Elephas maximus indicus: one gene and its partners. The protein of the gene in region 2 purifies or fractionates together with the protein of the main gene of each other region. This does not show direct contact. Links are inferred from orthologs where the notes say so. Each region holds a gene or a part of one and is shown on either strand. Other genes may lie near its edges. The genes, in order: PARK7, ENO1 and TPI1.

Region 1 (8,715 bases), about 1.0 Mb from region 2:
GGCCTATAACATAGAAAATGAGACTGGTGAGGAGTGAGCCTCTTGGCTCAAGTAGACACATGAGACCATGTGGGCAGCTCCTGTCTGGAGGGGAGATGAGAAGGCAGAGGGAGACAGAAGCTGGCTAAATGGACACGGGGAATACAGGGTGGAGAGGAGTATGCTGTCTCGTTAGGGGGAGAGCAACTAGGAGTGCACTGCAAGGTGTATATAAATTTTTATATGAGAGACTGACTTGATCTGTAAACTTTCACTTAAAGCACAATTAAAAAAAAAAGAAGAAGAAAAAAAAAGCCTGCAATAACAATAGTCTTAGATGTAGTCTAAAGACATTTCAAGAAATTAGTACTAATAAAGAAGCCATATTAAGGAATAATTTCAAGTAAGGATAACAAACCTCTTTTTTTGCATCTTCGAGACTGGCATCAGGACAAATGACAACATCTCGGCTACACTGTACTGGGTCATTTCCAGCCAGACCCGCAACGGTGACCTTAATCTAAGAGAAAGATGTCACTGTGACATTTTAGAACACTGAAACATAAATTTACAATAACATTTTACAGTTCCCATATGCTTTAAAAATAATCTTGCAGGAAATACTGTAACACAGCAATTCTGAATTCAAGCTGGTTAGTTGGCTTAATATATTTAATAACCAGGTCTGTCCTGGTTTGCCTAGTAGAGTCCCAATTATAGCTGCTGTCCCAGCATCCTATCCAGTTAGCGTTCTTTCTCCCTGAAGTGTTCTGTTCGGGCGGCAATTTATGTGATCATCCTGTTAATAACCCATCTTGCAAGGCTGTTGTGGCCATTTAAACCTCACAGTGTTTTCATAAGGTAGAAATGGAAATTAGAACAATGAAATACTACTGTATCTGGCAAAAAATTAAAAAGCAGACAATACCAAGAGCTGGTATTTAGAAAATGGGAAGTGACAAATTGTACACTGAAGAGCACTTGACACAATCTAGTAATGCTGACTGTATCTTTGGTCTAGCAATTCTACTATTCCACTTTTAGATATATACTACCTGCAAGAGAATACTTATGACAGTATTGTAATACTATATGTAGAAGCACTGTAACATTGTGGAGTATTCATATAGGACAACACTAAGCAACAATTTTAAATGAATAAACTGGATTAACATGTATCTACACTTGTGAGAGGCAAAAAAGTATACTGGGCGTGGGGGTGGCCACACTGCCCGGGTCTGAATGCTGGCTCTTCTACTTACTGTGACCACAAGAATGTTATTTTGTGTGTTTGTTCCTCGATCTCAACTGTAAAATGAGGGTAACCTGTTGCCGTAGGGTCGATTCCAACTGATAGCAACCCTATGGGACAGAGTGGAATTGCCCCATAGGGTTTTCAAGGAGCGGCTGGTAGATTTGGGCTGTCAACCTTTTGGTTAGCAACAGAGCTCTTAACCACTGTGCCATCAGATGGCAATACCTAATTCAGGGTTGTTGGAAAGTTTAAACAAGTTTATATAAGTGCTCAGAATGACACCGGGCACATAGAACTATTTAAGTGTTCTCTATTCTTATGTAACAATATGGATAAACACAGAGAATGATAGCTATCAGTCTAGTGCTACTTTAAAGACATGCATGGGACAGATGCAAACTAACTTGAGGATAGCAGTCGTTTACCTCTGGGGACAAAGAAGGAGAACAGGATTGGGAAAAGAACAAAGGGGCTTCAAGTTCATTGCTTTAAAGCATTTGTTCCTTAAGAAATGGGTCTGAAATAGGGCATAATGTCAACAAATATTAAACATAGGCAGTGGGTAAATGTGGGTTTTTGGTGAAAACATACACAACAAAACATACACCGCTTCAACAATTCCTACATGTACAATTCAGTGACACTGGTTACATTCTTCAAGTTGTGCCATCTTTCTCAACAACATTTTCCAAACTATTTCACCACTGTTAACACAAACTCATTGCCCTCCTAAGCTTCTCATCTATCCTTTTGAGTTGCTGCTGTAAATTTGATCACATATAGTTTGATAAATGGGTATTTATTATGTATTTCTGTGTAGGTGTAAAATATTTCAAAAAGGACTTTGCATACTACATTACTCAAAATGTCTTTTAAAATTCCAACCATTTTTAAAAAAGGGAGGTGAGGATTAGACCACAGTGGGGGACTTACTCCGGCACGTCTCATGACATCCACAGGGATGACGGTCTCCATCTCCTCTGCTCCCTTGGCCAGGATGACCAGAGCTCTTTTTGAAGCCATTTTTAGGTTGTATTTTTTAAAGACTTAATACAAAAATAGATTTCCCAAAAAAACTTTCACTGCACCCCTGGAATAGCCAAAAAGTTTAAGCTTAGAAATATTTTCAAACAGTAAATAAGTACCTCCTAGGGTAAAGGGTCTAACAAACACATCTAAAATCGAGCATTTTAGGATAATATTGGTTTATATAGTAGTGTCCAACTGTTGATTTCTAAGACAAAAACACAGTGGAGCTGCTAATTCTCTTAGAGGGTGTCACAAAATACACGTTTGGATTGTTTAGATATTCTTTTACCACTATCTTTTTACCATAATTTCTTAAATCCAATTTCTAATAATACATCGCAAGTGAGCTTTTCTAAAACGCAAGTACATGAGTCTTGCATGTCACACAATGCCAGTGATAAAAAGAAATCTGCCTTTTTGTAGTGCTTTTTCATAGAGAAACAAATAACCTTAATTTTATGGGCATAAGATTAAATTCTCAGTGTTTAGTAATGAGCCTGGAAGATTTTTGGAGGGGATTTTTTTTTTTTAGTTCCAATAACTGCACTAAAAACTTTGGGGGGGGATTTAATCATGTTAAACGCAGTATTTTTTATGACTGAGAAAGATGGAAATTCCCCTCACTTAAACTTAATCCAGCTATATTATCTCTCTTTGCACATTAAAAAAAAAAAAAAAAACCCTTGCCATTGAGTCGACTCCGACTCATAGCGACCCTATAGGACAAAGTAGACCTACGCCATAGGGTTTCTAAGGAGCGGCTGGAGGATATGACCTGCCCACCTCGTGGTTAGCAGCCGAGCTCTTAACCACTGCACCACCAGGACTCCTCTTTGCACATAGTTCTGCGTAATTTTTAGCCTAACCTTTTTCTGGAGAGTTTGCTGTCCAAGCAAAACAGATTTTCAATAAAACGATTTCAACATACAGTATTAACTCGGTCCAAGCCAGAAATGTGTTACAGCATTTTGGAAGCTCTCTTCTTTAGCGATGCTACTACGGTTGGCACTCAAAAATAACGGAATCTCCTTAGACTAAACTGCCATGTTTATCAAACGCAACCAAACCTACGCCCGGGGTCCGCACGGTTCAGTGACCTCATCCGAGTGCACAGGCCTGGCCGTTTACCTTCCGAAGCCCCCGCACCAGAGTCGTGTAACCCAGCTAAGGCTCGACACACCCAGGGCCCCCGCGACCCGTGCGCACGCGCCTCGCTCTTCCCCAGCCCGACCTGACCTCGCGCCTCGCCTACAGACAGGGATCCTCGGCCCACTCGGCTGCGACGCCTGCAGTGCACCCAGGAGGACCTAACCGGAACCGGGCCGCCCGGACCCGCCCCCTTCGCACTGCGCAGACTCGCCTCTCCCGGCCTCCCCACAAATGCGCATACCGGCGCCGTGTCGCGTCATGTTACGTCACGTCCGGCGAGCCCGCCTCCGAGGGATGCATCGAACGGATTGGGGGTGCGTCAGTCCTTTTCTGCTTCGGAATTGTGTGTCTAGGGATAATTTCAGTTCCTTCAAGTGGAACTCCCAGCACCCCTAAAGTGCTACAGATTCACGCATCCACACGAAACCCCTCCCACGAATGGCACAGTCCGCCGGCTCCCGCGGTTTAACCCGCTTTTTGCTGAAGCCGAAAAGGCACAACGCAGAGCTCTTAGAGCCGCTGCAGCTTAAACATGGGTATTGATAGATTTGTTCCTGGCGTTTCTTGTGTTCGTTTCTATCCCCTTTTGCGTCATTCCTGTTTCCTGAAACGTCTTCGCCTTTCACCTCCGATCTAGTAGGACTCGTTCTTCAAGGTCTTTCCGGTGACTTAGGAAATAATACTGAAGTTATTCCATGTCTTTGGGCATACAAGAATATGACCCAGCTGGAGGTGGACTCAGGGACTCACAAGGACACTTCAACTGGGCCCTGAGGTATAAAGACAACATAATCTTGGAAAATATCTTTTAGGGAAACTTTCACATAAGCGATCAACACAAAAAACTTTCCACTCTTTTTCTATTACCGTTTAAAAAAAAAGATTACCATTTAGTGAATAGAAAATCTGTTGGACCAATGAAGACCCTGACTGTCATTACTGAAACCTGTACCAATGACTGTTAAGAGGATTCAAAATCTAGGATCACATTTTTAGCCAATCTGTGAAAAGGTGAAGCTTTCAATAGTTCTGCCCATTCGTACTGTTAATATATACTGATGATTCTGTAATGTTCCTTGGACTCGGGCAGACATGGCGCTAGCAGCATGCTTGTCCGTTTTCCCACTTTTGTCTATTGTATAATATTTCCTCAGATTCGGGCAGACATTAACTATGGCAGGTTCTCTGCTTCCCACTTTTGCCTTTTTTAATACATGCTGAATCACACTTCCTTTATGTATTACTAAGTTTTGCGATGTTTTTCCTTGCAACACCAGGCCTTGTTCAACCCAGGCACTTAGGCTGAGTGATCCCAGGTGACTGTTCAGAATTTATTTACACACGGCAATTTTGTGTGTATTTGCTTATCTCCTTAAGTTGTTCACATAAGCTAATGCTGCTTTTGCATTCACAGGTTAGAAGCAATGCTGCACATGTAAGTCTAACAAGTACTTGATTGGTTAAATTTAAATTATCTCAAATTTTATTCTTGTAAAGTTTCTGAATATTAGTACTTCAGCAGTTTCAAAAGATAAGGGTTACACTGAAAAGACACACTCCCATCCATGTCCCATCCAGTCCCAACCCCACCTCCCACCCAGTAACCAACTTTATTACTTCACTGAGAAGCCTTCCAGCGTTTATATAAGCACAAGCAATACAAATAAAGACTATTCTTTTTCACATAAAATGTAGCAGATTATGTACACTGTCTTGCACTTATTTTTTCACTTAATGTTTCTTGAAAATCTACATGAAAACAAAAAGAATCCCCCCCCCCTTTTTTTTCCCAGATGGATAATACGCCATTGTGGGGATGTTCCATAGTTTACTTACTGATGAACATTTAGGTTATTTCCAGTCGTTATCTGTAGGGACAATGCAGCATTGAATAACCTTACACATAGATCCTACTCATGCAGGTATAAGTGGAGGGTAAATTCCCAGAAATGGGAAATGCATTTGAGCAACTCCACAGAAGTTGAAACACTTAACATTCCCACCAGCAATCTATGAGATCAAACAAAATTTTAAATATGTCAGTGTTTTCTAAGTTTCAATTTAGATTTTTAAAAATGTTTATTTTCAAGAAATAACTTTCTTTCCTTTGTTACTTTACAAAGCACTTTCATATATTTCATGTGATCCTTATAATCGTGGGGAGGGCTTTTTTATTTAAATTAAATGTAAATCGATTCATTTATGCAGCACTCTGCACTGCAAAAAAAATTGAATGTCTTTAAATCATTATTTGACATTTTAAGAAAATATTGTTTGGGGAGTTCTGGAATGACTTCATATTTGGCAAAGGAAGCAGGCAAAAGCCACCCTCTTTCAGCTTTGAAGGAGCTTCTAAAATAGAGACAGAGAGGGAGGGGAGGCAAGTGGTCAGATGTGTGCTTGAAGAACCAAGGAGGAAGTTCAGTAGATGGAAGGAAAACCAAAGAAAACAGACTGTTTTGATCCTGTCCTCATAGTGAAGTCTGGCAAGGAGACAACCATGCTCATGGCATGCTGCAGCAGGAGACAGCCATGACAGAGTAAAAATGGCAAAACAGATGGATTGGCAGAGACAGAGTTAACACTGCTGAAGCATCTGCATCACCATCAAGATCTAAAATGGACCTGTTTGTTGTTGTTAGGTGCTTTCAAATCAGCTCTGACTGACAGTGACCTCATGTAGAGCAGAATGACCACTGCCCGGTCTGAGCCCTCCTCACAGTCATTGCTATGTTTAAGCCCATTGTTGCAGCCACTGTGTCAATCCATCTCATTGATGTTCTTCCTCTTTTTCACTGACCCTCTACCAAGCATGATGTCTTTCTCCAGGGACTGGGCTCTCCTGATAACATGTCCAAAGTATTTGAGACAAAGTCTCACCATCCTCACTTTTAATGAGCATTCCTGCTGTACTTCTTCCAAAACAGATTTGTTTGTTCTTCTAGCAGTTCATGGTATATGCAATATCTTTGTCAACACCATAATTCAAAGGCATCAATTCTTCTTCGGTCTTCCTTGTTCACCGTCCAACTCTCAATGCATATGAGGCAATTGAAAATACCATGGCTTGAGTCCGGCACACTTTAGTCCTCCAAATGACATTTTTGCCCTTTTTTTTTTTTTAATAAAGAGGTCCTTTGCAGCAGATTTGCTCAATGCAATACGTCATTTGATTTCTTGACTGCTGCTTCCATGGGCATTTACTGTGGATCCAAGTAAAATGAAATCATTGAGAACTTCAGTCTCTTCTCCATTTATCATGATGTTGCTTACTGGCCCAATTGTGAGGATTTTTGTTTTCTTTATGTTCAGGTGTAATCCATATTGAAAACTGTAGTCTCTGATCTTCATTAGTAAGTGCTTCAAGTCCTTTTCACTTTGAGCAAGCAAGGTTGTATCATCTGCATATTGCAGGCTGTACATAAGTCTTCCTCCAATCCTGATGCCGTGTTCTTCTTCATATAGTCCAGCTTCTCAGATTATTTGCTCAGCATACAGACTGAATAAGTATGGTGAGAGGAGACCACCCTGACACATACCTTTCCTGATTTTAAACCACAAAGGGTCCTTTGTTCTGTTCTAAAGATTGCCTCTTGATCCATGTACAGGTTCCTCATGAGCACAATTAAGTGTTCTGGAATTCCCATTCTTCTCAGTGTTATCCATAATTTGTTATGGTCCACACAGTCAAATGCCTTTGCATAGTCAATAAAACAACAGGTAAACATCTTTCTGGTATTCTTTGCTTTCAGCCAAGATCCATCTGAATCCAGTTTGAATTTCTGGCAGTTCCTTGTCGATATACTGCCACAACTCTTTCTGAATTATTGTCAGCAAAATCTTACTTGTGTGTAATATTAATGATATTGTTCAATAATTTCCACATTCTGTTGGATCATCATTCTTTGGAATCGGCACCAGTATGGATCTCTTCCAGTTAGCTGGCCAGGGGGGCTGGACCTGAATCAGCATTAATTTTTATCAAATTAATACAATGCACATAGTTTTAAAAACTCAGATACTACCTATGATAGATTGGATTATTTTACAGAAATAGTCGCTTTTTCCCCTTCCACCTGCATGGGTCCAGTGTACTTCCTGCCCCTTGACTTTGGGTTTGGCCTTGCTTTGGCCAATGGAACGTTAACAGATATGACCTGAACAAAGGCTTGAAAATTACTGACCCAACCTGATACTTAGGCTTGCTGTCTTGCACTTTTGTATTGCCATAGGAAGAGCTTCCCCCCAGGGAAGTTGCTGCTCACCTCTCAAACTGGGTTTCAGAGTGAACTCACATGGAACAGAGCTGGCCCAGCCAACAGTACAAGACAAACCTGAAGACTGTACACTCAGGTTTTGTTACACAGCAATAGCTAACCAATACAGTATTAAAAGCCTTATATTTAAAAACAGTATTCCTCTGACTCAGACCTTCCTACCCCTCAGCTCTGCTGCTCAGAAGTAAATACTTTCAGCTATTTCTTCTGGTAATTATGTCATCATCCTTAACAATATGCTAATAATATTATTTCTCATTTACCAGATTTAGACATTGTATATTGGCTTCCTGGCAGATGTTATCACAGTTTTAATTTCACAGATGCAGACTGAGGTCCAGAGGAGAGAAATGATTATATACGATCCTGCCGAGCTTGGGCAAATGCGGGTATTCTGATGTCAACTTGCACATGGTACCCCCCATATACTCCGAGAGGACTACTTAATGAGTCATCAACACTCATGACACTCTCAACTTTATAGTTCATGCAGGTTTCTCGTCAAATTGTTACAGAACAAAGCCAAAAAAGTAAACCATTTACCAAAAAATAAGAGCTGGAGATTGAAACCCAAAAGGGAAGAACACGCTCTGCATTTCTCAAGCTGAAAGAACTGAAGAAAAAATTCAAGGCTAGAGTTGCAATAGTGAAGGATTCTATGGGGAAAATATTAAATGACACAGGAAGCATCAAAAGAAGATGGAAGGAATAGAGTCATTATACCAAAAAGAATTAGTCAATATTCAACCATTCCAAGAGGTAGCATATGATCAGGAACCAATGGTACTGAAGGAATAAGTCCAAGCTGCACTGAAGGCACTGGCAAAAAAGAAGGTACCAGGAATAGAACGAATATCAATTGAGACTTTTCAACAAACAGATGCAGAGCTGGAAGCACTCACTTGTCTATGCCAAGAAATTTTGAAGGCAGCTGCCTGGCTAACCGACTAGAAGAGATCCATATTTATGCCTATTCCCAAGAAAGGAGAGCCAACCAAATATGGAAATTATCGAACGATATCATTA
Region 2 (7,832 bases):
AGAATCCTTCTTTTCCTGTGCGAGTGGGCTGGGTGGGGATGGCAGGCAGACGTGACTCACTGTGACTCAGCCCTGACTGGCAGGTCTCGGTGACCTCAGCACCGCTGAGCTCCTTCTGCCTGAAGTTCCTTCCCAACCTCCCCGAGACACTGCTGGAGAGAAAAAAGGGCTACAGAAGGGCTGATTTTTTTCCTTAAAGTTAAAAAAAAAAAAAAAAAAAACAGAGGAGCTCCTAAGAGGCCCCACTCTATTCTTTTTTCACATGGGAAATCTCCTCCTAGGGGAACTTACCCAAAAAAAATCCATTGCCATTGAGTTGATTCTGACTCATACCCTACAGGATAGAGCAGAACTGCCCCACAGGGTTTCCAAGGCTGAAATCTTTACAGAAACAGAGTGCCACACTTTTCTCCTGTGGAGCACCTGGTGGATTCAAACCACCAACCTTTCAGTTAGCTGTTGAGCACTTTAACCACTGTGCCACCAGCACCCTTTTACAGCATGGTAGGAGCCCTGGTGGTGCAGTGATTAAAGCACTTGATTGCTAACCAGAAGGTCAGTGGTTTGAACCTACCAGCCACTCCACTGGAGAAAGATGTGGCAGTCTGCCTCCATAAAGATTACAGCCTTGGAAATCCTATGGGGCAGCTCTACTGTGTCCTATAGGGTTGCTATGAGTCGGAACTGACTTGACTTTACAGCAGTGGTTTAAGAAAAAAAAAAAAAAAAAAAAGCCCAGTAAAAATAAGAGCCTCTGGGTTCTCCACCCTTGGTTAAAGGTGATTTCTGGAAAGAAAGTTAAGAGTGCTATATTTGCACTTGCTTGCATTCCCCTAATCTCCTTCCTTATCAAGGGATGAAGATCATTCTATCACAACCACTTTTGCTTATTTGGTCACAGAAAGCTGAGAAGCAAACTAGTGATGGGACCTCTTAGGGACAAGGCCCTACCTTACTTCCCTACCCCACTGACCTAGGAGCCAACCTATGTTCTGTTTTAAATGCCATCCAGGAGTCAAGGACTCCTTGCCTTATAACCTGCTCCCCACCAAGTCAGGAATCACAACCGACTAGTATGTACAGACCACAAGAAAGGTTTTCACAACAGGCTTTTTTTGGTCTAATGCTCTATGAATTTAAGTAGGTTTTAAAGATGGTGCGTGACTAAAGAACCACAGAATCCAAGTGGCACATACCTTTTGCAGTATAAAGATCAACCTCAACAGTGGGATTTCCACGGGAGTCGAAGATCTCTCTGGCGTGAATCTTGAGAATAGACATGGTGAGTTTCTGTAGGGGAAACACAGTTCATATTTTCCATAAACCAGAATGTGTTCATTACTCATTCATTCAAGGGATTGCCTCCGAGGCTTCCTGGACTAGAAGATGGCTGCACTGGACTAAATGCTGCAGGTAGGAAGGCTAGGTGAAGTGGAAACAAGTCTGCTGCAAAGTAATGGGAATTGCTCCTAAAAAGGTAGGTTGGCCCCAGCTTTGGAAGGCCCTAAACCAGCAGTTCAGGTCTCGTCCTGTAAGCAGAACAAAGAAGGCCAAAGCATGTGCACACCAGGGAGAAACCAAAACCACCTGTAAAGATGAATGTGGTGGCGGATACAGGACGGCTTAAGAGGAGTCTGAAACTGGTTACTGTCGAGAGTTTACGAGGCTTGGCATGGAAACGGAAAAGGGCCAAGCCCAAACCTAAGGGCAGAGGAAGAAAGGGCATGAAACTCACAAGAAAAACCATCTAGGCCAGGCCCCCCCCCCCCCCACAAGGTAGGGATGCAGGAGGAAAACCAAGCTTATAATGGAATACTGAATTAAAAATTTGGGGCATATTTCATTAAGGTCAGTGTTTGAGGAAGAAGTAGAATATTCAACTGATATCCAGTTACAATTTTGAGTTTGGTGCTCAGGAACGATGAGCTCCTTGGTCCGTGCTCTTTGTTACTGCCACTTTCTGGGCCTTTTGAATTTCCCAGTATTCGCATCTTTAGATAGGACACATTAATAATGACATCTAGTTAGTATTTCTCCCAAAGGGAATTTTACCCCATTTAAAAAACTCAATTCTGAAATGTTATGATTTGTAAATGGAAGAAAGATTGTCTTTGAACACCAGCATACGCCAATGGAAGGGGCTTCCTTTGAAAACGCACCTAAAAAAGAAAAGGAATCACAGCTACCAAGAGCAAATAGCAAGTCCTCCCAAAAGCCCCTTTCTTACTTCCCCCCCCCAGGAGTTCTCTAAGGAAGAAACTAACTCAACCTGAAGTGAAGTGGATGAGAAGAAATGAATTATTATTCAAAAACCGTTATCTAGCTGGGTTTCCCTCTAACATCTTCTCTGGAATGTTCTGAAGTAGCAACTGGCATCCTATCTTTTTAATCTACTGTAAGTTTCAAAATTTGATACCCAAGTCACTTCTGTGTAACAATGGAGCTTTATTCACTAGCCAATAAAAAAGTATCTAATTTCTACATACTATCACCCAAAAGGGCAAATTTGTTTAAAATTTGAGGTGCAAATAAAATGTAATACACCTTTACATTTATAGAAAAATCATTCTCCGAAGTAATTAAAGTTCAGCGAGCAGGGAGACAGCAAACCGGCTCGTGATCACTTCTGTCTGGACTGAATCCCGTTATCAGGCGCAAAACAAGTGGACGGGGCAGTGACCTGGAGCAAGTCAACCAACAGACCACACCTCCCAGGAGTCAAGACCAGTGTGGAGGAAACAGGCAGCTTTAAAAAATAAAATAAAAAATAAAATCTTTTTATGCCACACGAGGGCCCCTCCAGGGAGTAAGTCGGGGAGAGGCGCAGGGTACTCGCCTGACTCGGGCGAGGTCGCCTAAGGGCGTCCCCATTATCCACCGGAACTGTTGCAGTTTCCTCAAGAAGCACCTTCTAGAAATTATATAAGCCTTTGCGGCGATGGCTGGCTGGACACCCAGGCGCCGAGCTGCAGGCCCTGAGGCACTAGTGGGACGCTTGGGCTACTGGTGGGGAGAAGAGGAACTGCAGCTTTCTGGGCATCTCCCCCCGTCCCTTCCTCCATTTTAAAAAGGGTCTGGTTTTAATTATCACCCGCGCAAAGTCTGTATCCCTCCCCAAAAACCTTCCATTTGGCTACTCATAGAGAAGCGCCTTCCACCCACGACGCCAGATATCCTAAATGGTTTGCGTGTTCTAGTCCGGACTCTCCGAGTACAGTTATCTGGCCTTTCACTCCGTAATCACGTGCTGATCAGCATCTTCCCCTACAAAGAAACCTGGCGCCCTACACGTGCGCCTAGCGCCGCACCCGCGCCCCTGGGCCGCAGGAAGGGCACTGGGTCCTGCCAGGGCACACCGCAGGCCTCCGAGCGCATCCGGGAGCGGCCCGAACTCAATCTGCGGAGTGCCCAGACACACTCGCCGGAGAGCGAGGCGGGAAGTCGGCGCGCATGTCCCCATCGGTCCCGTCCGCGCCCGAACCCACCGCACGCCACGTCCCTGCGGGGAGGGAGCTCCCACAAGCTCGGTCGAGGAAAACCCACACGCCACCTGCACGAGCGCTCCCTTGGCAGGAGTCCTTACCTAGCCGCCGGTTCTCGTGGCGCAGGAAGGAAGCGGAGAGTGCTGCAGACACCAAGACGAGCGTTAGGCCAACTGCGTGCGACCTCGCTAACTCCCCGGGATCCTCTGCTCGCCGCCTCGCCCTACTTCCTGCCCGCCTAGGAGGCACCGCCCAGTGCCCGCCTCCGGGGCCGGCCCCGTCCGCGCCGCCTCGCCATTGGCTAAGCGCTCCGCCACTCAGGTCCTCGCCTCCCGGGAAGGGGCGGGGCTGCGGCTGCCGCACCGATCTCGATCTGGGGGCGATGACTTGGGGTCGCAGGGCTGGGTTAGGGACACTGGGGACCTGACTCCCTAGTGGCTATACGGGGATCCTGGCGAGCCCCGCTCCCCGTGGGGACCCCTGAGGAGAACAGGGACCTGGGGAGCCGGGGCCTGGGAGGGGCAGGGTGGCGCGGCGGGCATGAGGGCTCGGGGCGCCGGCACGTACTCCGAGTCTCGCACGCACTCGGCGTAGCTCCTGCTCCGGGCCGCACGTTTGGCTACGACCTTGGTGACGACCTTCGCGGCGCACCCTTTCCCGGCCTGCCTCCCGGGCCTCCCCCGCCCCGGAACTCGGTGCCCGGGAGTTGAAGCGTTGAGCGACCGCGCGGGGCGCACGACCCCCACGACCTGGACCTGACCGCGGCGAAGTCTGCCACGTTGAGTCCAGGAGGCCACGTGTGCCTGCCTGCGCCAGCGCGCAGTGCGCTGTGCGCGTGCCCAACGAGGTCAGGCACCCGCGTGTCAAGCCCAAGGTGACCCTGCCCCATTCACCTTGCCACGCCGGCTTGACATTGAGGATCAGGCAAGGTAGCTGAAAGGAAGGTTCGTCTTCCATAAATTATAGCCAATACTTAACCAAGTATTCTTACTCTGTGCCAGGCACATCTCCACATGCTTCCCCAGTGTTAATTCATACACTAGTGCCTGTTACTATTTCACCTTTAACTGGAGACTTCGTATCCCTCCCTTTCCATTATCTATGGAATTCGAGGGATTCGTGCGAACTATAAATGTAATGATTTGGGAGAGGAATTTCTTAAAGTACAGAACAGTAAGCAATATTCCACAGTGGTCCAGCAAATAAGAAACAATTGGTAGGTGCAGTGACTTTGCCATTGTGATCAAGATCTGATAGACCATTAAGAAGTCAGCTCTGCAACACATCCCCCACCCCAAGGAGGGGCTGAGTGGTCACTTCGTGTTCTAATACAGTTATTTTTGTATTTTCTCCATGGCCCTCCTGGTTTGTGAGTGTGAGGTCTTAAACAATGTAATAGATTTCCATATTTCCCATATTGCCTTGCATAGAAAGATTCAAATGTGTATTGAATTTAGTATTTCTTCTGATTAGCTCTTAAAACTGCTTTTCGTCCTTAACTCCTAGCATCTTTCTTGTCAAGCTTAGGTTTTCAAAGCATTGGAAAGATGAAGGCCTATGGGGTCCACAGTATTTGTTTTCCATTGACTAAGAAACAAAAATTTTAAGATTAAATTCAGCAAAAACACAACATGGAGATTGTAACATGGTTCGCTAAAGAATTATATGAATTTTGCAAGCAATGTTCGTGATTTCACCACTGCCGTTTTTGGCTGCTGGAAACCGGTATCTGAGTCCCATGACTCAGCAGTTACATCACAGCCAACATCTCTCAAGCCTTGTAAGGGCTCCAAGGAAATCAGACATTTAGAGCTCTTATTTTCAGAGTAATTCTAAGGCGTGGCCCTGAAAGGGCTCCAAACAATCCCTTTTACTTTACACCAACGTTGTTAGAGATAAAGATAATCAAGGCCCTCATAACTGCTGGCTGGCCAGAACCAGTGAATCTAGCAGGAAGCCAAATGCAGAACATGATCTGAGTCAGCTGCTGTTGCAAGATTCTTGGAGCCCACAGCTCACCATTATGAGCCAGCACTTGAACCTCAAATTGTAGTTCAAACATTAATGATTATTGGAGATGCCCTTTAAAGTGAGGTTGTTGAGCAATTTTATTGCGTGGCATATCAAGGGCACTCGCCTTGCTGGTGGTGCTCAGGTTACTATCAGCATACCATACCTGAAGCGATGCAGGCCGTCTTGCAGGAGATCTGCAGGTAGCGCTTGGATGGAGGGCAGGTGAATCTGCAGCAGCCTATGACCCACCTGAGGCCCTCAATGGTGCAAATGGTTAAGCACTTGACTGCTAGCAAAAAGGTTGGAGGTTTTTTTTTTTTAATTTTATTGCACTTTAAGTGAAAGCTTACAAATCAAGGTCCGAAAACTTACAGCCTTGAAGACCTTGTGGAACAGTGGTGTTACCCAGTACAGTAACTCATGGTGTCGCCCCCAACCCCCGTGGACCTCAGTTTTAATCATAAGATAATATGTGATAAATATAGTTTGTAAAGTGCTTAATTATAAAATTTCTTAGATTATGTGAGTACTAACAACAAAATTATTTTGTAGCCTTTCTACATCGAATTAAAACATTATTAGTGATAACATTATTAGTAACTGAAAGGAAGCCTTTTTTTCTTTTTAATTACTTCATTGTCAAAAAAGTTATAGATATAGATTCACAAATAATACCACAATATTGTAGCTAAAACACCGGCAAATTTGACAAAATCAACAACTGTAAAAACACTGGCAGCAAAGAAAACAACATTGCGTGCTCGTAGCTGGCAAAATCACATCATTCGAGGTGTCATTGTAATTGCATAACAGTGACAACCTTGACTGGTGCGCATTAGAAGGTTCAAAAAGTAAATCTGCATAGAGCTTTAGCCTTGTAGGTATATTGATAGATGTAGGGTTGCTATGAGTTGGAATCGACTTGATGGCAGTGGGAGTGGGTTAAGCTGGTCTTATGAAAAATGCTTTTGTTACAACTAACTACAGGATTTTTTAAAAAATAAAAATAAATTTCTGCTGAAACACTGCACAAAAATTTTATAGGCAAGTCATTTTGGTGTCACCCCCTCTGAAAGTGTCACCAGTGTGGTCTGTACCCCCTGCACCCTAGTGATGCCACCAAGTTGGAGTCAACTCCACTGCAGCTAACAACAAGGACCCATCTGGATTATTGATTCCATCTGTGGTATGTGCACCACTGGTTGGAAAACGCTGGTTTATGGAGAAAGGGACATACTGTTTCTGAAAGCAGCTCTCCAAACTTCAGAGTAGGATGAGGGGTCCAGGGAGGTAAGAGATCAGATACATACAGAAGGCCCTCAGAGGCATCTATGTCCCTCCTCATAATAGGCCATGAGGTTTTCATGTTTGTTTTTTTATCATTAAATATTTTATATATACCAAAGACTATGTAAGGATTATATGTTTTGTTGTGAGTTGCCATTGAGTCCATTCCGACTCATGGATAATAAATGAATGTCTGTGGACACACCACTAGCTTCAGAAATGGAACATTAGCAGTGCTGTTAAGGCCCCCTGTGTATCCCTCTTGATAACCACTAACCTAAGTTTTGTGTTTATTATTCCCTTGCTTTTCTTTATGGCTTTTTTTTTTAATCGTTTTTTGAACTTTATATAAATGGCATCACACTGCGTATAGTCTTTTGCTAGTTATTTTGCTTAACTTGATGTTTGTGGGATCAGTCCATGTTGACCCCATAGGTGTGGAAGTGTAGGTGGTTCTTTGTCAGTACTGCATAGCAGTCCATTGTGTGAATATTACATATTCTCCTGTCAACATATATTTGGGTTGTATCCACTTTTTTTTCTCCCTTTATAATGTGAATAATGCTGCTACGAACTTGGTTGCAAATGTGTCCTGAGCACAGATGCAAGTGTTTTTCTAGGGCCTATGCTTTGGATATGTTATCAGGAGGGATCAGTCCCTGGAGAAAGACATCATGCTTGGTAAAGTAGAGGCTCAGTAAAAAACAGGAAAACCCTTGACAAGATGGATTGACACAGTGGCTCCAACAATGGGCTCAAGCATAGATAGCAACAATTGTGAGGATGGCATAGGACCAGGCAGTGTTTTGTTCTGTTTTGTGTGGGGTCACTATCAGTCAGAACCAACCCAATGGTATCTAACAACAAAAACAACAATGCCTAGATGTGGAACTGCTGGGTCATAGGGTATACGCTTCTTCACCTTTATTTTCTAAAGTGTTTGTATATCTGTGTAGTCCAACCAGCAGCATATGAGTTCTGACCCAGTTTGAAAACAAAATATCAAATTCAGCTCTTTCCTTGCAGTTTTTTTTCTACAGATTAAGCCCC
Region 3 (8,001 bases), on a different chromosome or scaffold from region 2:
GTTCATGGTATTATTTTTTTTACACAAGGGATAAGGTCCTGTGGCTGCCTCAAAAAGCAAAAAGAGAGGAAATTGTATGGACAAGTATAGCAAAGAAGGACAAACCACAAGGCTTAGTGCCAGATGTTTATTTCCCCCACATGTGGGACAGCGATACACACAACACACACAGGCGTTGGAATCATGGGAGAGGGTAGCACCCCTGGCCTCTGAGGGGAGGACAGGGGTCTCTCTCAGACCCTGGCTTCACAGTGTAAGAGGGGAAGAGAAGTAAGATTTCTCTCTCCTGCCTTCACTGGGGACTGAGGGGACCCATGGGCAAGCTCCACACCTTCCATCTCTCAGCCAATGAGAAGCCACCTTGGTGACATGTTTATTTCCAACCATGACAGTAAGTGGAGAAGTGATTGGCCTGGTCCCAGCCATTACAGGGGAAGGTGTAAACAGTAAAGGAAGGTACACTTTGGATTAGGCCATGAGACGGGGCAGGTGACACTATCAGAAGCATGTAGGGGGAGGGGGTTGTTGGGCTTCTGGGCTGCCTAGTCCCTGGCTCAGCGGGAAGGGGTAGGGGAGATGGATGGGGTTTATTGTTTGGCATTGATGATGTCCACGAATTCCGGCTTGAGGGACGCACCACCCACCAGGAAGCCATCCACATCAGGCTGGCTTGCCAGCTCCTTGCAGGTGGCCCCGGTCACAGAACCTGGGAAGGAGTGAGAGGGACGGATCAAGAGAGAGATGGACATACCCCATCCCCACTCCATGTCTGAGGGCTCCATCTAGTTGTCAGCCCGCCCCACCTCAGGCTGGGGTCAAATCCACTTACCTCCATAAATAATGCGAGTGCTTTGAGCCACCGCATCAGAGACATTAGACTTGAGCCATCCCCGGAGTTTTTCATGCACTTCCTGGGCCTAGAACAAGAGCCAGACTAAGTAAAGCCCTTTCTACTTCCCATTCAAAGGGGAAAAACATTGGGCACCAGTGGAGAGAGGAAGTGTGATCTCTGAACACCAGGGCTTTAATCTCAGCCAGGCCCTGGAATGGGTGACCTTGGACCAGTCACTCTTCCGCTTTGGACTTGAGGGTTCCTCATCTTTAACACGAGGGGTACATAGATCAACAGGTAGGACTGGATGATGGCAGGGCTCCTGGGCTAGGTCACCTGTTGGGGTGTTGCAGTCTTGCCAGTACCAATGGCCCACACAGGCTCATAGGCCAAGACGACCTTGCTCCAGTCGGTCACATTATCTGCAGGACAAAGATCACAGATGGAGGGTGGGTGAATGCGAAGGAGCTATCCAGCCACCCTCTCCAGGGTATGAAAAATTATGGTGGCCCACTGCTGCCACCTGGTGGCTATTACAGGAACCCCAGGTGGCAAGGCAACTGTACTGTCGGGGAGGGGCAGAAGTCAGGGAGGATGCAAGACTCTCACCCTCCCCCTTCCTTTCCTGGATCAGCATGGGGATCAAAGTCAGGCTGCAGAGCATCTGACTCCACCCTCTGCAGCCCAGGCTAGGCTCAAAGGTCCCTTCTCCAGAGATACCTGCGATGACCTTGGTTTGTTCGAAAACGACCTTCTCCGTGATGCCAGCTTCCCTCTCATCTAGCTTCTCCCCAATGCAGGCGATTACTCCGAGGCCCTCTGCCAGGGCATGGGCCACTTTCTGCCCAATCAGCTGTAGGAGAACAGGCTTGGTGACACAGCCCTCTTGGAATAAGGCAGCCCGTATTTCCACTCCTGGTTACTAACCTCATCTGACTCTCCAAAGATATGCCTTCTCTCTGAGTGCCCCAGGACTACCCAGGTGGCTCCACAGTCTTTGATCATCCCAGGGCTAAAGGAAGAGAGGAAGCTATGGCTCAGGAGGGAGCCCACCCTGTGGCTTTCCCCTCAAATGAAGAAAGTGAGGGCAGGGTCCCCACACACCTCTCTCCTGCTTGCATCTCACCTGATCTCCCCCGTAAAGGCCCCATTAGTCACTTTGTAGCAGTTCTGTGCAGCCACAGCAATCTTGGGATCTAGCTTCTGCCGGGCAAAGTCGATGTAGGCAGTAGGGGGTGCACAGACTACCTCTGTGGATGAGATGGAGGCACATGGGGATGAGATCACCAAAAACCTGCGTTCTCCAGACTTCCCATCCAGTGCTCCAAAGCACTCAGCCTTCATTCTCTTCCTTAGTTCTGCTTTCCCCCTTTTTCACCCCAGCAAGATGACCTCTGTCCACTCCCCAGCCTAGGCTGGACCTGCACCCAGCTCCTAAAGCCTTCCGGGTGCCCCTGAAAGGCCATGACCCTAGCCCTGCCCTTTGCTCCTTTAATAGCTGTGGCTCCGGTTTCCCTGGGACTATTCTGGGCATGGGCACCTCCCGGACTCAGCATTCTCTGGGGGCCAACTCCGCCTTTCTTCTAAAATAGCCCATCCCCACCTCCCCCAGCAAGGCAAGGATTTTTAGCGAAGGAGAAGGGGCCAATTCCTGGGGTTCGTATTGGGGGTCTTTAGAAAATACACCAGAAGGGAATACCGCTTTTGATCAGGCACGTGGTTCTGTGATTTAGGGGGGTGGCAGGCAGCTGACTAGCTCATAAAGGCCTTGCGCTTTTCCCTTTCCACGTTGGGGAATGCCGCAGGATCGCTCCTCACTCCCAAATGTCTCAGTCTGTTTGGCACCTGCTCAGCTCTGCCGTGGAAGGCAGGAGCAGCTCAGGCTGCCGAAGTGAAAGGATCGGAACGGGTGGCTCCGGAACCCAAAGCAGCTTGGCGGCGGGAAGGCCGGCGCGCCCAGCCAGGCGTGGGGAGGAGTCTTGGGCTACGTGCGGCCGCGCACGGAGCCGGAGCCCAGAGGCAGGTAGCCGGGAGCCCGCACGCACGCTCGGCCTCCTCACCCGTACAGGTCGCCAGCCTCTGCCGGTCGCCCTCGGGGGCTCGGGCTACGCTTCTACCCCACGCTCCTGGCTGGTGCAGCCCTAGTCGGCGCCCTGGGGCCATCTTCCTCCCGGTGACCTAAATCCTTTCCCGCCCCAGAGTCTGAGGGCACCATTAAATGGAGCCCCGCCTTTCCCCTTCGACACACCCCCGCGAATGCTGCTGCGAGGCCACCACGATGTAGGATCGATGCCCTGACACTCAACGGCCCTTATACCCCGGCCGGGCATCCAGGTCCGCTCGGACACCCGTCTCAGGGAGCTCGAGCGAGGGCAGTGCCACGCCCGTCCCCCCTTCCCGGCCCCGGCCTCTCCCTGGTGAGGGCCTACCAGTATCGGCCGGCACCTTGGCCGCGTTCAGAGTGGTGATGAGTTCCCCCAGGCCCTTCTTTCGCCCGTTCATCTTCCAGTTCCCCCCCACGAAGAACTTCCTGGAGGGCGCCATTGCGCTAGAGTCGAGACACTGAAGGTCAGTACCACGGCGCAGCCGCTGCCACTGCCCGCTTATATAGAGCGCGGTGAGGCAGAACCCCGCCTTCTCCTCGTCCTCAGCCATAGTTAGCCCGGCCCCCTGCCTGGAAGTCCTTCCCCCTGGCCCCTCCTGCCGCCTGCAAGCCCCCGCCCGCCTGCGGGCCGCCCGCTGTTGCAAGGTTCTGACGTTCCCCCTTTCTTGTAGCAACGTTCTAGGAGCGTTGGGGACTTGGTAGCTTTAGTAGCCTCAATTGCCTGGCAATAAAGGAAAGGCAAGAACTGTGAGCCCCTGCGCTCAGGGGCACCCAGACCTCATGACTACAGCTCCCCAGAGGGCCAGAGAAGGCTCTAAATGGAGCTGGCTGGCAGGCCAGACCATTCCCACCGCTTAGCCTTAAGCCAAATTGCTCTCTAGGGCTGAGCTCTGAGGGGCATGGCTCCAGCTCAGGGAAAGAGTACCCCTTCCCATATCAAAGCTACGTCCCTGGCTGAAGAGTAGGCACCCTTGACCTGCCCAGGGAGATGTGTAGCCCCACAGTTGCTGGGCAAATAAGGTTCAGAGGTGGAAGGACAGCCCACATTAGTCACTCTGCAGCCCAGAGAGGCAGATCAGAAACCTGCAGCCCCTTCTCCGGGATATCCCACTCTTTACTCCAGCTGGTCAAGGCCTCACAAGACACTGAAGGGCCGAGAGCCCAGACTGAGTGCCCCCCAGCCACTAGGGACATTTGGGAAATAGCCACTCAGCCCCTCCTATGACTGCTAGGAGGAAGAAGGGCTCTTCACCCCCACCTTTCCTTGCTCTGTGCTCTGTATTTAGGTCACTCCACTTTCTTGATCTGACAGGCCCAACTAGTGGTCAGCTCCTTTCTGCTCCTGCCTCCACCGCTTTTCTGCTCCAGGGACCACCCCTGATCTGTCCCCCTTTCACACCCAATTTTCCAAGAGTTCTAGGACTAGTGAAAATTAAAGAGAAAATTGCCTATGGAGGAGACAGAGGAAGGGCAAAGGGGCTGGGAGCTTTCTGAAACTGGCCCTCCCACTAGTTCCAGGGAACAGAAGTCCTTCCCAAGGTATCAAACAGGACACAAGTTAGCCATTGTATTTTTATTCACATCGTGTATTTTGGCATTTTCAGAAAGGACGAGGAAAAGACTGAGGCAGGAGGGTGAAGGGAGGTCCCCATTTCCCTCATACCCCTCCTTGCCCAACCACACATAGAGCAAACACAATGGGGGAGAGGAGGCACAGATGCTCCCTCCCCTGGAAGAGGATGCACAAAGCTACACCCACGCACACACACAAATAAGACCCCCCCCTCTGACACACACACACCAGGGGGCTGGGTGAGATTACACAGAGAAGCAGAGCACTGTGGATTCAAGGGGCAGGGGAAGCAACGAAGTCTCTTACAGACAGGCAGCTGGCCCCTCCCTTCCCCTTCCCACTTAATCCCCAAAGTCTATAGAGTGCCCCCTTCCCTTTGTTTGGCCATTCTCCTATGGCCTCCAGCTTCTTCCCTGCTGCTGGGGACAAAAAGAAACAGGGTATAGAGCAGGGGGGCTGAGGCCCATCCCTCAGCCCCTATCCCTCATGCCAGGTGGTTTGTCCCCTGTCCCCAGTGGTGAGGGGTGAGGAGGGGCCTCTTAGCTGGCCACTCTCTGGTAGAAGTAGATGTAGCCCAGGTCCTTGGGTGGCTTCTCAGAGGCACACACTTTCTGGTCATTGTAGATCACCCATCTGGGGAAGGGAAAGAAAAGGATGGACATCCCAATTTGCATCAACTTAATTAATCCCTAAGACACAGCCCTAGAGTTGATTCTGGGGGAAAGGCTCCGAACATTGTCTGCCTGGGTCCCCAAACCTACAGTCCACTCGCTATCTCTCTGAAGGGAGCGTCCCAATTCCACAAGGGTCATTTCTCCTCCTCTGTGTCTTGAGATCCTTCAGTATCTTTACAATCACCCCCTACCCATTCCTGTAGGGGTTGGCAAACTTTTTGGTAAAGGCTAGATAGTAAATATTTTAGGTTTTGCAGGTCATCCAGTCTTACAACAGTGACTCAACTTTCCTGCTGCAGCACGAAAACAGCCATAGACAATACATAATTACTAAGTGTGGCTATATTCCAATAAAACTTTATTTACAAAAGCAGGTGGCTAGGTTCAGCCCTTGGGCTATATATAGTTTGCTGTTCCCTGTTGTAAGGCATTCTTCCAATCTCTGGTGTATTTGTGCCCCTATCGCAAATATACTAAGAATTTCTTCCAGAGTGCCCCTACTCATTCCCACCACCACTTCCCATTCAAAATGCACACTGCCAGCCCCTCACCTGCCCTCCTTCTTGATGTGGCAGACGTAGTGACCACACATGGTAGAGGTGCCCATGTGACTAATGAAGGCAAAGAGCTGATACTCTAGGAAAAAGGAGAGATAAGAGGGCAGAGAAGAAAATGGGCAAGAAATCCTTGAGCACCAGTCCAAAGATTGATCTAGCAGCTCAAAGTGAGGACATGAGTTTCAGGGAATGTGGAACATGTACTGGACCAAAAGGCTATCTCAGCCTCCTAGAATCCCACCCTCAAAAAGTCACATTAATGGAAGGTAGCTTCTGACGCCTCTGACCCTTGAGGAAAGTAGAGCTGCCTTCGAATGAGAGATCTGGAGTAGCGGATTAGCTAGATTCTCTCAGTTCTGTCCTGTTTTCCAGGGACACTCACTTCCAAGACCATCCCGGACTTTAGGTCCCACAGGCACAGACTCAGATATGGAGTCAGCAGCTGAGCGGCCCTCTGAGATGTCCATGGCAGCTTCAGCATCCAGGTCATCGATGTGACTGAAGATCCAGTCCACAGCCCGTTCTAAACTGTTGTTCTTGGAGAGGAAGGAACTGTTACTTTTCTAAACAAGTTCTGGGGCAAGAAAACCACCAGTGAAAGCTCAGCTCCTTCATCAGAGCCACGTAAGGGTGGAGCCCCAGCATTGGCCATACTATTCCCATTGTGCTTGGTCTTAATCGCAAAGGATAGAATTTCATTCCTACCCCTTTCCTCCCCCATAGGCCCCAAGTCCTTAGCTGGGGCAGCCCATACCGTGGCCCGCAAAGCTTTCAGGGCTTGGTCCTGGGAGAAGCCCATGGAGACAATGGTGGTCACACAGTCATCTGGTGGGGGGTCGGCTGCTGCACTTGTGGAACCAGGTCCGCTGGAGCCAGGCAGGATGAGGGGGTTTGCAAAATCTGTCAGGATGTGAAGGGTTGAAGTGTGTTTGGGGGAAGGATGGTGGCCCTGCCCTGTCCTGCTGCCCCACCCTGCCTACCTGGATCATCCATGTGTGACATGACCCAGTTCATGGCAGCCTCAGCCCCACTGTTGCCGGTGTAGTAGACAGCTTTGCGGCAGGCATCCATAGGGAAGCCCATCTCCACCAGCTGGATGATGACCGACTCATCCAACATGGGTGCTGTGGGGAGGGAGGATGGGAATTATGTGAACAGTGACCCAACTCCATGGGGCACCAGCTGCCCCTCCTCCTTTCCACAGTGCACCCGCCAGCCCTTTTCCAACCACCCATTCCATGCATATTCCTCAATTTTATCCTAAAGTGACCCCACAACATAATGTAGGTCCAGTATTCTAAATGCACAGAACTGAGGTTACAGGTTCCATTTATCCCCTTCTCTGTCCATTCTCATGGAATGGCCCTGTTTCTGGAACATGATACTCCCCACCCCCATCCAAAGAGGTAACAGGGTTGAAGCAATTAGCCAGTGCTACTGCCATCCACATGCAGAATGTGGCTGGGAGTGCTCTAGTCAGTCCCCAGGTCCATCAAAAGAGGACGGAGGAAATTTGAAGGGAAGACAGGAGAAACACGAAGGACAGGGTCAGGGGGGAGGCAAGGCAGAGAAGCCCCCCATCAGCATGGAGAAAGACAGGCAGGAAGAGTCACTAACATGTTGGAGAGGAGAAGTGAGGGGAGCAGAAGGAGTCTTCGTCTTCGTTGCCATAGAAACCAAGGCTACCTTTGGGCTCATCCGGAGTGACCAGGGGTGGGGCAATGTCAGGCAGCTCCTCCTCTCCAGGCTGCAGCCCTGTACCCCTCAACTGGGAGATGTCTAGCTCCTCCGGCATCTCAATAGACACATCTGCAATGGGAATGGCAGGAAAGGGGTCGCCTCAGCAGCTCCCTGAGGCCCTCTCTGAAAAATCACTTTCGGGGATCTCAAGCCCTTGCTTCTCATCTTGAAACTGCTCTGTAACAAGGAGCTACTAAGAACAGGACCAATCTTAAAGGAGTCCTAATGTAGTAAAAATAACAGTGAGCCTGGGAGTCAAGACCTGGATTCTAGTCCTAGATCTACCACAATGAGCTACAGACAAGGAATGGGACCTCCAACTTGTACAACTGAGTCCTTTTATACTTCTGTGGATCTCAACTTCCTTATCTAGAAAATGAAGTTTAATCAATAGTTCTCAAATAGCTCTTACAGTCATCAGAGGTCTGTGAGAGCAATGAGAATTAATTGTTCAAGATTCTCAAAATGAAAACATTTTACCAGTTATGAAACTAAAATTAGGGAAATTGTTTGTAAATCTT

Evidence for each region.
Region 1: the proteins of ENO1 (region 2) and PARK7 fractionate together in Homo sapiens (co-fractionation; 3 studies listed by BioGRID). This does not show direct contact. The link is inferred for Elephas maximus indicus from reciprocal best matches to the Homo sapiens genes ENO1 and PARK7.
Region 3: the proteins of ENO1 (region 2) and TPI1 fractionate together in Homo sapiens (co-fractionation; 4 studies listed by BioGRID, with this or other methods). This does not show direct contact. The link is inferred for Elephas maximus indicus from reciprocal best matches to the Homo sapiens genes ENO1 and TPI1.

Annotation. Positions count from the first base shown.
Region 1 is NC_064821.1:47,287,257-47,295,971, reverse strand, and holds the start of PARK7 (Parkinson disease protein 7), read right to left. Parts: upstream 3,607-8,715; 5' UTR 3,500-3,606; exon of another isoform or gene 3,495-3,499; intron 2,325-3,494; 5' UTR 2,258-2,324; coding exon 2,168-2,257; intron 500-2,167; coding exon 398-499; intron 1-397. UniProt on the Homo sapiens protein: Multifunctional protein with controversial molecular function which plays an important role in cell protection against oxidative stress and cell death acting as oxidative stress sensor and redox-sensitive chaperone and protease.
Region 2 is NC_064821.1:48,283,727-48,291,558, forward strand, and holds the start of ENO1 (alpha-enolase), read right to left. Parts: upstream 3,710-7,832; 5' UTR 3,584-3,709; intron 1,291-3,583; 5' UTR 1,282-1,290; coding exon 1,197-1,281; intron 1-1,196. UniProt on the Homo sapiens protein: Glycolytic enzyme the catalyzes the conversion of 2-phosphoglycerate to phosphoenolpyruvate. In addition to glycolysis, involved in various processes such as growth control, hypoxia tolerance and allergic responses.
Region 3 is NC_064822.1:63,662,533-63,670,533, reverse strand, and holds TPI1 (triosephosphate isomerase), read right to left. Parts: upstream 3,503-8,001; 5' UTR 3,488-3,502; coding exon 3,262-3,487; intron 2,083-3,261; coding exon 1,959-2,082; intron 1,845-1,958; coding exon 1,760-1,844; intron 1,686-1,759; coding exon 1,553-1,685; intron 1,255-1,552; coding exon 1,169-1,254; intron 918-1,168; coding exon 830-917; intron 707-829; coding exon 588-706; 3' UTR 114-587; downstream 1-113. Other genes in the region: USP5 (ubiquitin carboxyl-terminal hydrolase 5), read right to left, coding at 5,049-5,142, 5,735-5,819, 6,123-6,276, 6,495-6,640, 6,721-6,864, 7,358-7,549. UniProt on the Homo sapiens protein: Triosephosphate isomerase is an extremely efficient metabolic enzyme that catalyzes the interconversion between dihydroxyacetone phosphate (DHAP) and D-glyceraldehyde-3-phosphate (G3P) in glycolysis and gluconeogenesis.